3 linked regions of the Callithrix jacchus genome follow. The main gene of each other region encodes a partner of the protein of the gene in region 3 in a complex. Links are inferred from orthologs where the notes say so. Each region holds a gene or a part of one and is shown on either strand. Other genes may lie near its edges.

Region 1 (3,365 bases), on a different chromosome or scaffold from region 3:
GCAAAATGAATAGCAGGGTAAATAGCTCCGTATCATGGCATTGTAACTTGCTACCATGGTCATTTCTTTACACGCTACTAGCAACAGTGACCAAAACCAATTTCATTTTTAACATCATTACCCAGCAATTTGAACATGTGGTATGCAATCGATATTCACGTATAGTAAATAACACCTTAAACTTTTAGAGTCCCTTTAAAAAAGTAAAAGTGAAATAACATTCAATAAAACCTTTAATATTCCATTTATGTTGGCTGAGAAAAATTGACCGTTTCTTTAGAAATTTCTTGAACTACAGTTTTCACTTAAACAGAGCTACTCCACCTTCAATACATTGCTAATATGGAAAATTTTTAAATCAATAATTAAATGCAATTAGAGAAACAGCTTAACGGATTTATGTATTAAAACACAAAAGGGAAACACAGAGCTATGTTCTCATATGTAAAAGGCCAGGGTTTTGAAAGGGGGTATTAATTTGTAAATAAAGTACTGCTCTAGTAGCCTATTTTTTCAAAGATCAAATAGAATCAAAAAGGATTGAAAAGAAACCTTTTTTTAATCTGCAATTCACTGGGTTTAAGCTTTAGTTGTTCCTTTCTACTTCAAAAAATGGGTTTCTTTAATAAACACACTCTAAATAAGGGAATAAACACTTTATTTTAAAAATTCAAATATGCTTCAAATGAAAACTCCTGTCCATTTATTAAGCACCCACAGAGTGCCAGGCACTATACAAAACATTAAAAAGATTTGTTCATGCTCTTTTAGAGCAAAATTCACTATTCCGTTGTACTTGGCATAATGCTGACATTTTAGATCCATTGTCATAAAACGACCAAGATCTTCAAGACTTGCTCAAGAAACAAGTTTCCAATCCACAGTAGAAACAGATGACACAGGTTTATGCAGAAGTCAACTGGTGATGTCTGTCAACCATTTCACTTAATGTCCTCTCCCTAATTAAGAGAAAATTGAAGTATTAAGGGCACAGAAAATGGATTTCTTAATAGTATTATAACCTAAAACTCAAGTTTAAAATCAGCATTAGTTTCTATAATGTTTAGCAAACATATTTTACCCAATTTAACTGTCATTCATATTACACTTTCATTTTTTAAATTAATAATTAAGCAAAACCAAATTAGAATTAGGTGAAAAAAATTGAAAGGAAAAGGCAAAACAAAAAGTGATATAAAATAAAGCCACAAATTAGGCTAAGCAAAGAACATCACGGTGTGCTACATACTTGCTAGCAGAGAAAAATAAACTGAAACAAAAACAGAAAATGCCTGTTTAGTATCAATTCTAAAAATCAAGCAATTTAAAGACTTTTTAAGATACTCACCTCTGAAACCACCTCCCCCTCTTCCTCCTCGGAAGCCCCCACCTCCACCTCCTCTTCCACCTCTAAAACCACCTAAAAAACATGTATTAAATAATAATGCAAAATATTTAAATAATATAAATAATAAACATGAACAGTTATTAACTATATAACCTCTTATGCTGATAAGCCTACAAACATCAATACAATAACTATAATTACAATGAATATTCACATATTTTATCATGGAAAAAATTTTAGAAGATAAAAATGGAGGGACTGTAGTTTACCAACTTGGCAACAGGCTAAAACCCTAGATTCCTTTTAAACAAGTATTCCATTTCAATAAATTAGAAAACCTGCTACTTTAAAGTATAATTCAGTCTTGTTAAATGTACAATTATCACCTTAGTTCTTGCTTATGATAAAGACTTTTTGATTCAACGAAGGATAGTTTGATGGAATGAAGGCTTTTTATCCTAAGAACAAAGGGTGGCACCTATGGGTGCTTTTGCTCTGGGGGCATGATAATAAATATGATAGTTAAGGCTAATTGAGCTACATAGGTAAGATTTTTTAAAAATAAGATAGTTGTGAATTTTTTGAAATGTTAAATGATACTCAAATGAGAATAGGGGAATCTCTATTCATCAAATTCTCAAGAAGGTACCCCTGAAAATATTGGAGAAATATGTTGATATTTTTTAAAGATATTCCTTGCTACCTATATGGACCCAAACAAGTACATTTATGGAGTGAAATGATGATTAAATTGAGAGACGCAAAAGCGAATCGTTCCTTCTCTTTTTCTGATCCAATAACAAAAGCCCAACTTTCAGCTCCTCCCCCTTTCCACTTTGGCCCTCCCCCTACTCACAGGACATGGCAGCCCCACTCCCCAGAGCCCTGCTCATCACCTAGCTGCCAATTAATGATGAATGTGCCAAAACCTTGGGGAAACAGTGAGATCACAGCAATGAACTTATTAGTAATAGTTCTTGACATGACATCAGAAGATATGCATTTTAATTCTGGGTCTGCCAATTGTTTGATGGGGGCAAATTAATTTCTGTAAGTCTCCGTTTTCCTCATTCATAAAACAAAAATATCATCTATCTCAAAAGGTTTCACTGAGATTAGAAGAATATACAAAGAAATTAAAAGAAGGTATGACCAGCTTTCAGCATGCAGTCTATACTCAATGATAATAAAATTAAGATGATTTTATGGTTTATTAAAATGCCCAAGAAAACATGAATAACCCAAAGAAATAAAGTCCCTCAAAAGTATACTACAGTAGATTTTTTTTTTTCTGTTTAAGTTGTTGAAATGAAGCATTATTATTATGGACAATCTGTCAATATTTGAAAGCAGCTTTACCATAAGGGAGGTTTGCTATGTTCAAAACTAAATTGTACTATATGAATTTAGCTGTGACTCTAAAATCTCAACAGAAATTTTCCCCAAGTAACTTACCACCTCTGCCACCACCTCTGCCACCTCCTCCTCGTCCTCCTCCTCGGCCTCCCCTGCCACCACCTCTTGGAGGTCCTTTCTCACCTGGAGGTCGAGGTAAAAACCTCTGCAGTGGCAGCAGCTTATATGGGTCTATATAAAACTGGAAACATAATAGAAGCAATTAGTGTGATGACTTGGGGGACAGTATAATAATTCAGAAGCTACATGATAGAGTCAAAACTGACTGGGTTCCGTTTTGCAATTTAATTCTTTCCACAATGTATCTCTGGGTAAGCACTTAATTTCTTACTACCTTAGTTTTCTTTTATCTTTTTTTTTAAATTTTAAGTTCTGGGATATACGTGCAGAATGTGCAGGTTTGTTACATAGGTATACATGTGCCATGGTGGTTTGCTCCACCTATCACTTGTCATCGAGGTTTTAAGCCCGCATGCATTGGGTATTTGTCCCAGTGCTCTCCCTCTCCTTGCCCCCCACCCCCCAACATGCCCGGGTGTGTGATGTTCCCCACCATGTGTCCATGTGTTCTCATCGTTCAACTCCCACTTATGAATGAGAA
Region 2 (3,650 bases), about 130 Mb from region 3:
GGGTGTGGGACACGCATGGAACCTGGGGGACAGCGGACACGTCAGAGGACAGGCCTCCTAATGAAACGGAGCCCAGGGGTGTGGGCATGGGCACAGCGGTACACATGTGCAGAGGTGTGTGTGTGCAGGTACCAGCATGTCCAAGTGCACGCACAAGTACACTGCACGTTTCTGTGTGCCATCTGTATGAATGCACACACACGTGGAGGCTGAATCAGCTCCATGCTGGATGCCAACCCCCCATGCTTCTGATTAAGCCCTGTTCTGGGAAGGCCTCTAAGACTTCCAGTTTATCAAGTTTCTTGTGTACCAGCAGGAACTCGCTGTACACCTGCCCTCAGTCACACAACCTCAATGTCATCGCAATCAATGACCTGTGCCTCCCTGCTGAGCTGCCCGCCTCAGTGCTGCGTCGGCCCTGGGTCTGGGCTGACAGTGCAGGGATCCAGCACCTCATCTGACGGCCACTGGAACTCAGACTTGGCTTCTGTGTGTAGGTGAAGTCCCTACCACGTCTTTTTCCAAGAAACTGCATTTGTCAGTCTTTTTTGTTGTTGCTGAGACAGGGTCTCACTCTGTCACTCAGGCTAGAATACTGTGGTGTCATCTCAGGTCACTGCCACCTCTACCTCCTGGACTCAAGCAATCCTCCCACTTCAGCCTCCCAAGTAGTTGGAACTACAGGTGCACAGCACCACACTCAGCCAGCTTTTATTTCGATTTGTCACAGAGATGGGGTCCTACGTTGCCCAGGCTGGTCTCAAGGCATCCTCTTGCCTTGGCCTCCCAAAGTGTTGGGACTACCAGTGTGAGCTGCTGCACTGGGCCTGCCAGCTCCTTCTTTGGCCTCTCAGCTTCCTGGGACTTCGGGGCAGGACTGCATCGACAGACAGCGCAAGTGCACATGTGCTCATACATGTGTGTGCATATGTTCATACGTACGTGTGACCAGGACACCCAGGCAAGGTGCTCTTATGTGTGATCTCGGTGCCTGTGCATGAGCTCATACATGTGTGTGATCAGGGTGCCTGTGCACGTGTTCATACGTGTGACCAGGGTGCCTGTGCACATGTTCATACGTGTGTGACCAGGATGCCTGTGCACGTGTTCATATGTGTGTGACCAGGGTGCCTGTGCACGTGTTCATACATGCGTGTGACCGGGACACCCGCGCATGTGTTCAGATGTGTGTATGATCAGGACACCTGTGCACGTGCTCATACGTGCATGTGATCAGGGCACCCATGCACATGTGTTTATATGTGCATGTTATCAGGGTGCCTGTGCACAGGTGTTCATACATGCGTGTGATCAGGACACCCGTGCACGTGTTCTACGTGGGTGTGATCAGGGCACCCGTGCATGTGTTCATACATGCCTGTGATTAGGGAACCTGCGCATGTCATACGTGTGTGATGACATGTGTGTCCATATGTGTGATCAGGACATCCATGCACATGTTCATACATGTGTGATCAGGACATCCATGTACAGGTGTTCATACGTGCATGTGATCAGGACACCTGTGCATGTGTTCATACGTGTGTGATCAGGACACCTGTCACAGGTGTTCATACATGCGATCAGGACACCCATGCACAGGTGCTCATATGTGTGATCAGGGCACCTGCGTACCTGGTCTCACTGCCTGAGCCCCTTTTGGAATAACCTGAGATCATACCAGTCAAACCAGCACTCTGGTCTCAGCCTCTCAGTAACTCTACTGAGCTGGGAAGTCTCCCCACATAGCAATGAGAGAAGCCAGGCCCAGAATGCTTTTACCCGAGGTCTGGGGTCAGCACAGGGCCACGCTCCTGACCTAGGAGGGAAATACCTTGCATGGCCAGGGGCTCTCTTCCAAAGGGAGAAACAACCGCCTCCTGCTAGAGGTTGAGGCATCCATCCCCGGCCTGTGTGGGGGTGCAGCCGGCATGGCTGAAAAGGCTGAGCCCAGCAGATTTGAGTCAGCTGTCCGTGGCACCACCCGGACTGCCACAGCCTCACTGCTGTGAAATAGGAGCCCAGCTCTCCGTTCTCCCACTCCTGTGTCGAAGGAACAGGGTTCCTGGGCCTCCCACGTGCCTGACTCTGTGTTTCGAAGCAGCCGTGGCCCATCATACCTCGGTCTTCTCAGGGCTGCCCTCATCGAGTGACTACCCCAGGCCCCACGTGGGGCGTTCCGGGCCTCCTCTATGATACCCCTTTAATGTCTCTTTACCCCATGCCCCTGCTGCCTAGATGGCCTCCATGAGGTCCCATGGGCAGTGCACAGGCACAGGAGGGACACCTGGGGCCACGTCAGCTCCTACCGCTACTTGGAGACCGAATGGGCACTTCACACAAAGCCGTGCGGACATAGAACCAGGCTGAGGAGGCAGCACTGCTGAAAAGGTAAGATACTCCTTACCCCACCCGTCAGAGGTGAGCAGAGTGGGGAGGGTCTCTGGAGGTTGGGCCCGCGCCCCCTGGTGGCTCACCGGTAAGCCTGCAGCAGGAAGGTCTTGTAGACGTTGGCACACACCGTCTGGAGGCTGTTCACCTAGAGTCACCAAGAAACAGCGAGAAACGGCAGAAACCTCTCTGGAATTTTAAGTTCTTACTTCTTGCTTTATCATCCATTCAAATGGAATAAGAAAGGGGATCACTGTGATAAGAAACCATCACTCTTCCTGATGAAATCTGGCCTGGCCCTCACCAGGCAGCTGTGAACCATGCTGAGGGGAAGCCACAGGGTAGGGGTGGGGGGGTAGAGCGTGTGTGGTCAGAACTCTGGCGTCTGCCTGCCCGAAGATCGGCCAGGACGGGAAGGAACCAGGAGGGAGGGAGTGGATGCAAACGCCCAGATGGGACCATGCCCTCAGCGCCGCAGCTTCGGAGCCTCAGCCCAGCAGGACCTGGGACCCTGTCTCAGGAGGGGTGCTGGTACTGAGGACCAAGCAGGGTGAACATGAGGGGCCCTCGATACACATATGTGCATGCCTGCTACTGCACACCCACATGCACCTCACATGAATGCACACGACTGCACATGCACACGTCAGGCATGCATTCACATGTGCATACTGACACCTGCAACCTCGCACACCTGTGCACATGCCGCCATGCATTCATGCACACACACGCACACGTGCATATGTGCACTCATGTGCAGCCACACCTTCACCTTCAGCCTTGCAGGCACGCTACACATACACACACACACATCAGGTACGCATATGCATGCTCACACCTGCACCCCTGGACACCTGTACACACACTGTCATGCATTCATGTACACACACTCATGTGCACAGGTGCACGCATGTGCAGCCACACTTTCACCTTCAGACTTGCAGGCATGCCACACGCATGCGCATACACTTGTGCAGTTACACACACACCTCCTGAACTCTGAACTCTGTGCTGTCAGTCTGCTCACCTGCAAATCCAGAAAAAGGCTGTGACACTTCAGCCGCAAGACCCCAAAGAGTTTGCGACGCATGCTCCTCCCGGCCTTGAAGCTGCGGTTGAAGGTGAGACTGGCTCTGATGGAGGTCCGGGCATAGCTGAGACAAAGTGGGGATGTCAGACACAGGTCCCAACCCACACCATGCCCCTCTCGCAAAGTTTGATGGGAAGAGCCTCCCTTCCTCCTCCCGCTCCTTGTCCTG
Region 3 (4,268 bases):
CCAAACCCCTACAGCCATCTGCCTATTTAACAGTTCTCCTGGTGGGGAGAGGGGAGGAAGTCATGTGTCTCTAAAGTACCTCCAAAACTTATCAAAAACCAAACCTGTGATGTTTATTTTTGAGATGGAGTCTCTGTCACCAAGCCAGAATGCAGTGGCACGATCTCAGCTCACTGCAGCCTCCACATCCTGGGTTCAAGTGACTGTCCTGCCTCAGTCTCCCATGTAGCTGGGACTACAGGTGCACGCCACCACACCGGCTAATTTTTGTATTTTTAGTAGAGACAGGGTTTCACCATGTTGGCCAGAATGGTCTCAATCTGCTGACCTCCTGATCTACCCACCTCGGACTCCCAAAGTGCTGGGATTACAGGCATGAGCCACGACATTTGGCCAACTTGTGATCTTTCTAGTCCCCCTCCACTGTTCACATCTCAGACGGGGCCCTCTGTCCCTCCAGCTGGGCCTGTCAGAACCTAGAAGTCATCAATACCTTCTCATTCTCCACATCTAAAAGTCCTCTCAAATCTATTTCCTTTAACTCTGTCTCCACCATCACCTCTCCAGCACTACGGTGGTCTACTATCTGAACATTCCCAAACCTACTCTTACCTCTCTAATCCTTTCATCAATTGTCGGAAATTTTTGGGTGTAAAAAATAATAAAAATTATGTCACTTCCTGGCTTTAACCCCCAATGGCTTCCAAAGCACTGAATACAAAAACTAAATTTACTGTGGGCTACAAGGTCCCCTAAGAAGGGGGTTCACCAGATCCCCCTTCCTGCCCTGAGGCCCACTCCTTCTTCTGGCAGGATCCTCCGATCCCACTCCAAAATTAATCCCTGTGTTTTTTTTCTTTTTTTTTTTAGACAGCATCTCGCTCTTGTTGCCCAGGCTGGAGTGTAATGGTACAATCTTGGCTCACTGCAACCTCTGCCTCCTGGGTTCAAGCACTTCTCCTGCCTCAGCATCCTAAGTAGCTGGGATTAAAGGAGCCCACCACCATGCCCGGCTAATTTTTTTGTATGTTTAGTAGAGCTGGGGTTTCACCATGTTGGCCAGGCTAGTCTCAAACTCCTGACCTCAAGTGATCCACCCGCCTTGGCCTCCCAAAGTACTGAATAACAGGCGTGAGCCATGCACCCGGCCATCGCTGTGTCTTTTTTTTTTTTTTTTTGAGACGGAGTTTCGCTCTTGTTACCCAGGCTGGAGTGCAATGGCACAATCTCGGCTCACCGCAACCTCCGCTTCCTGGGTGCAGGCAATTCTCCTGCCTCAGCTTCCTGAGTAGCTGGGATTACAGGCACGCGCCACCATGTCCTGCTAATTTTTTGTATTTTCAGTAGAGACGGGGTTTCACCATGTTGACCAGGATGGTCTTGATCTCTTGACCTCGTGATCCACCCACCTCGGCCTCCCAAAGTGCTGGGATTACAGGCTTGAGCCACCGCGCCCGGCCGCCATCCCTGTGTCTTAAGATCTCAGCTCAAATGGGACTACTGAGAGAAACTTCCCCTGATGTGCCCTCCCAACTAGGTTAGACACCATTAAGCATCAAGTCTGCCCAACATTATTGATCTCTTGTGCACCTTCAGTTTCACTTCTTGGGATAAAGCAAGGAAAGGCCCTGTTCTGGAGCTTACCATTTGGCCTGAGAGGATGATACAGGGAAGAAAAATGTAAAGAAGCTTCAAATTTTGATAAATGCCATTAAGAAAAGTGGGGTAATGAAACAATTCTCATTGCATTCTGTTATTTTCCTTCATGGCTATCACAACGTTTAATTATTTGTGTGTGTGATTATCTGATCAATGAATGTTACTGTTTCTCCCATAGCACAGTGCCTGAAAAAGAGTACACACTCAATCGTTAAGGTTACCAGGTGTGGTGGCTCATGTCTGTAATCCCAGTGCTTCTTGAGGCTGAGGCAGGAAGATCTCTTGAGCCCAGGAGTTCAAGACAAGCCTGAGCAACATGACGAGACTCCTCTGTCTCTGCAAAACAACAATTAGCCAGGCGTAGTGGCGCAAGCCTGTGGTCCCAGGTACTCGGGAGGCTGAGGTGGGAGGATCGCTTGAGCCCAGGAGGACAAGGCTGCAGTGAGCTGTGATTGCGCCACTGCACTCCTGCCTAGGTGAGAGACCCTGTCTCAAAAACAAACAAAAACATTAATACTCAGCCCCTTAAATACAGAGTTAGAGAGGGGCCACCCCTAGGACAGATTCAAGGCTGAGCGGATTAGGGCGAGGGCTCGAGGCAATCTGAGGCAAGGAGCGGAGACTGGGGAGTAGGATCCCTGAATGAGTGAAGCTGGGTCTAAGGAACTTGGCTTACACAGTTCGCTTCACCCTGGAATTCACTTTAAGCTCGTGTCGGTATTGTACTAAAGGGACTTTACTGACTGCTTAACTGGCTTCTGTATATGGGGCTAGGTCAGAGTCAACATTTTACTGCGCACCTACCACGTAGAGATTTCTCAGTTAGCGTTTAGAAATGCAAAATCTAGAGGAAAGAGGGTTCTTACCCTTTTTCTCCTTTGTTGACAAATTTCTGAACCTCTTTCACCCCGCGCCGAATCTGCTTCTGCTTCACGGCTGCAACGACAGAAGAGTAGGTCGGGGGCCTCTCCACGCCACCCGCGCCCCCACCCGCGCCCCCACCCGGGCCACCTCGGCTCTCGCCTCACCTTTCTTGATGCATTTGTAGAGCTTCCGCGTGAGGCGACGAGAAGCCAGGGGCTGCGCGATGGGGTTTTGGTTGACCAGCAGCTCTTGGTAGGTGCGCTCCCCGGAGCATGCCTCCGCCTGACCCTCGGGCCGGTCGGGATCTGCCTTTATTTTGGTCATCGCAGCGGCCGCGGAAACCTAGTCCCAAAGAGGCTAGACCACGCGGTCCGCAGCTTTAGGCATTACTTCCGGGCTACCAGCTGCACGAGAAGCCGCCGTGCAACACGGCCAATCAGGAAACGAGGTCTCCGACTCAGTCCTATCGTTGATGATCAGCTTCGAAACTACGGAGCGGAGAGGGGCGGAGTCGCGATCGTAGGGGCGGGGCCGCCCCCGACCAAGGAGCGGGGCGGGGCGAATAAGGGCGGAGCCGAGGGAATGTGAGGCAAGGGGCGGGGCCCTGGGGGAAGCAGGGCCTAAGGGGGCGGGGGCGGGGGCGCGGCCGGGGCCCGGGGCGGCGCTGGAAAGGGTGCTTCCTTTCTTGCATAATTTTCTTTCTTTCTTTTCCGTCCCTTGGACCCCGATGCGCAGGTGTGAAAGATACAGAGCAAGGGCTCACCCCACTAACCTGCGTGCGTCTGCACCATTTTTCTCCAGATAGGGCGTGGCTCGCTCTCTTCCCTCAGGGTTCTGCTCCAGTGTTTTCCATGGGAGAGGTTTCCCCGTTTTTATCTAAAATTGCAGTCCCCTCCCTCCCCCACCAGCATCCTTTCACCCGCCACTTTCCCCGCAGTTCTTACCTCTGCCTGACGCTGCAAACGCTGAGGGCCTAGCTGAGAAGTCAGACGACGCTAAGGGGAGGACGACTGGATTGAAGCCAGGAACAGCTGAGGGAAGACTTTGGGGACTGAGGTCCCTGGCGGGCTCGGGGAGAGCTGTGAAGAGCCACCCGCTGGTGGGTAGAAGGCTAAGGGACAGAGCCTCCAGGGAGTGGGAGGCGGTGGCAGGCCGAGATCTAGTGGATCTTGGTATCTCTGTTAAGCCTCTTCCACTGTGTTTTGGAACTCTGGATGGATATTAATTAGATAATTGCTACAAATGACTAACTTGTAATACTAATTACCTTTGATCCTGATGTGGCAGGCCTGCCATTTTTATATTGCTAGAATAAGCCAGTAAATAGAAACTTAGAAGTGTTCTGGTGGCTGTGGGAGTAAGGTCAGTTAAACTAACTTAAAAATTGGCCTTTCCCCAGTGTGATGACACGTGCCAGTGGTCCCAGCTACTCAGGAGGCTGAGATGGGGTTAGCTTGAGCCCAGGAGTTAGAGGCTGCAGTGAGCCATGACTGCACCTGTGAATAGGCACTGGCAGTCTGGGCCACAGAAGAAAATCCTGTATCTTAAAAACAAACAAAAAAAACTTTTAACACTGGAGCAAAGGTGCAATAAATTTTGTTTATTTTGCATTAAATAAAAACAAAATAGGTTTTTACGAGGAGCCAGTGGCTCATGCCTGTAATCTCAGCACTTTGGGAGGTCGAGGAGGGCAGATCTCTTGATGTCAGGAGTTCGAGACCAGCCTGGCCAACATGATAAAACCC

What was found.
Region 1: NHP2 (region 3) and GAR1 share a complex: the UniProt entries of both Homo sapiens proteins name them as parts of the H/ACA small nucleolar ribonucleoprotein (H/ACA snoRNP) complex. The link is inferred for Callithrix jacchus from reciprocal best matches to the Homo sapiens genes NHP2 and GAR1.
Region 2: NHP2 (region 3) and TERT share a complex: the UniProt entries of both Homo sapiens proteins name them as parts of the telomerase holoenzyme complex. The link is inferred for Callithrix jacchus from reciprocal best matches to the Homo sapiens genes NHP2 and TERT.

Annotation. Positions count from the first base shown.
Region 1 is NC_133504.1:87,424,201-87,427,565, forward strand, and holds the end of GAR1 (H/ACA ribonucleoprotein complex subunit 1), read right to left. Parts: intron 2,946-3,365; coding exon 2,804-2,945; intron 1,421-2,803; coding exon 1,349-1,420; intron 960-1,348; coding exon 946-959; 3' UTR 642-945; downstream 1-641. UniProt on the Homo sapiens protein: Required for ribosome biogenesis and telomere maintenance. Part of the H/ACA small nucleolar ribonucleoprotein (H/ACA snoRNP) complex, which catalyzes pseudouridylation of rRNA.
Region 2 is NC_133503.1:204,825,636-204,829,285, reverse strand, and holds part of TERT (telomerase reverse transcriptase), read right to left. Parts: exon of another isoform or gene 3,572-3,650; intron 3,546-3,571; coding exon 3,419-3,545; intron 2,540-3,418; coding exon 2,478-2,539; intron 1-2,477. UniProt on the Homo sapiens protein: Telomerase is a ribonucleoprotein enzyme essential for the replication of chromosome termini in most eukaryotes. Active in progenitor and cancer cells. Inactive, or very low activity, in normal somatic cells.
Region 3 is NC_133503.1:70,651,651-70,655,918, reverse strand, and holds the start of NHP2 (H/ACA ribonucleoprotein complex subunit 2), read right to left. Parts: upstream 2,915-4,268; 5' UTR 2,848-2,914; coding exon 2,688-2,847; intron 2,596-2,687; coding exon 2,526-2,595; intron 1-2,525. UniProt on the Homo sapiens protein: Required for ribosome biogenesis and telomere maintenance. Part of the H/ACA small nucleolar ribonucleoprotein (H/ACA snoRNP) complex, which catalyzes pseudouridylation of rRNA.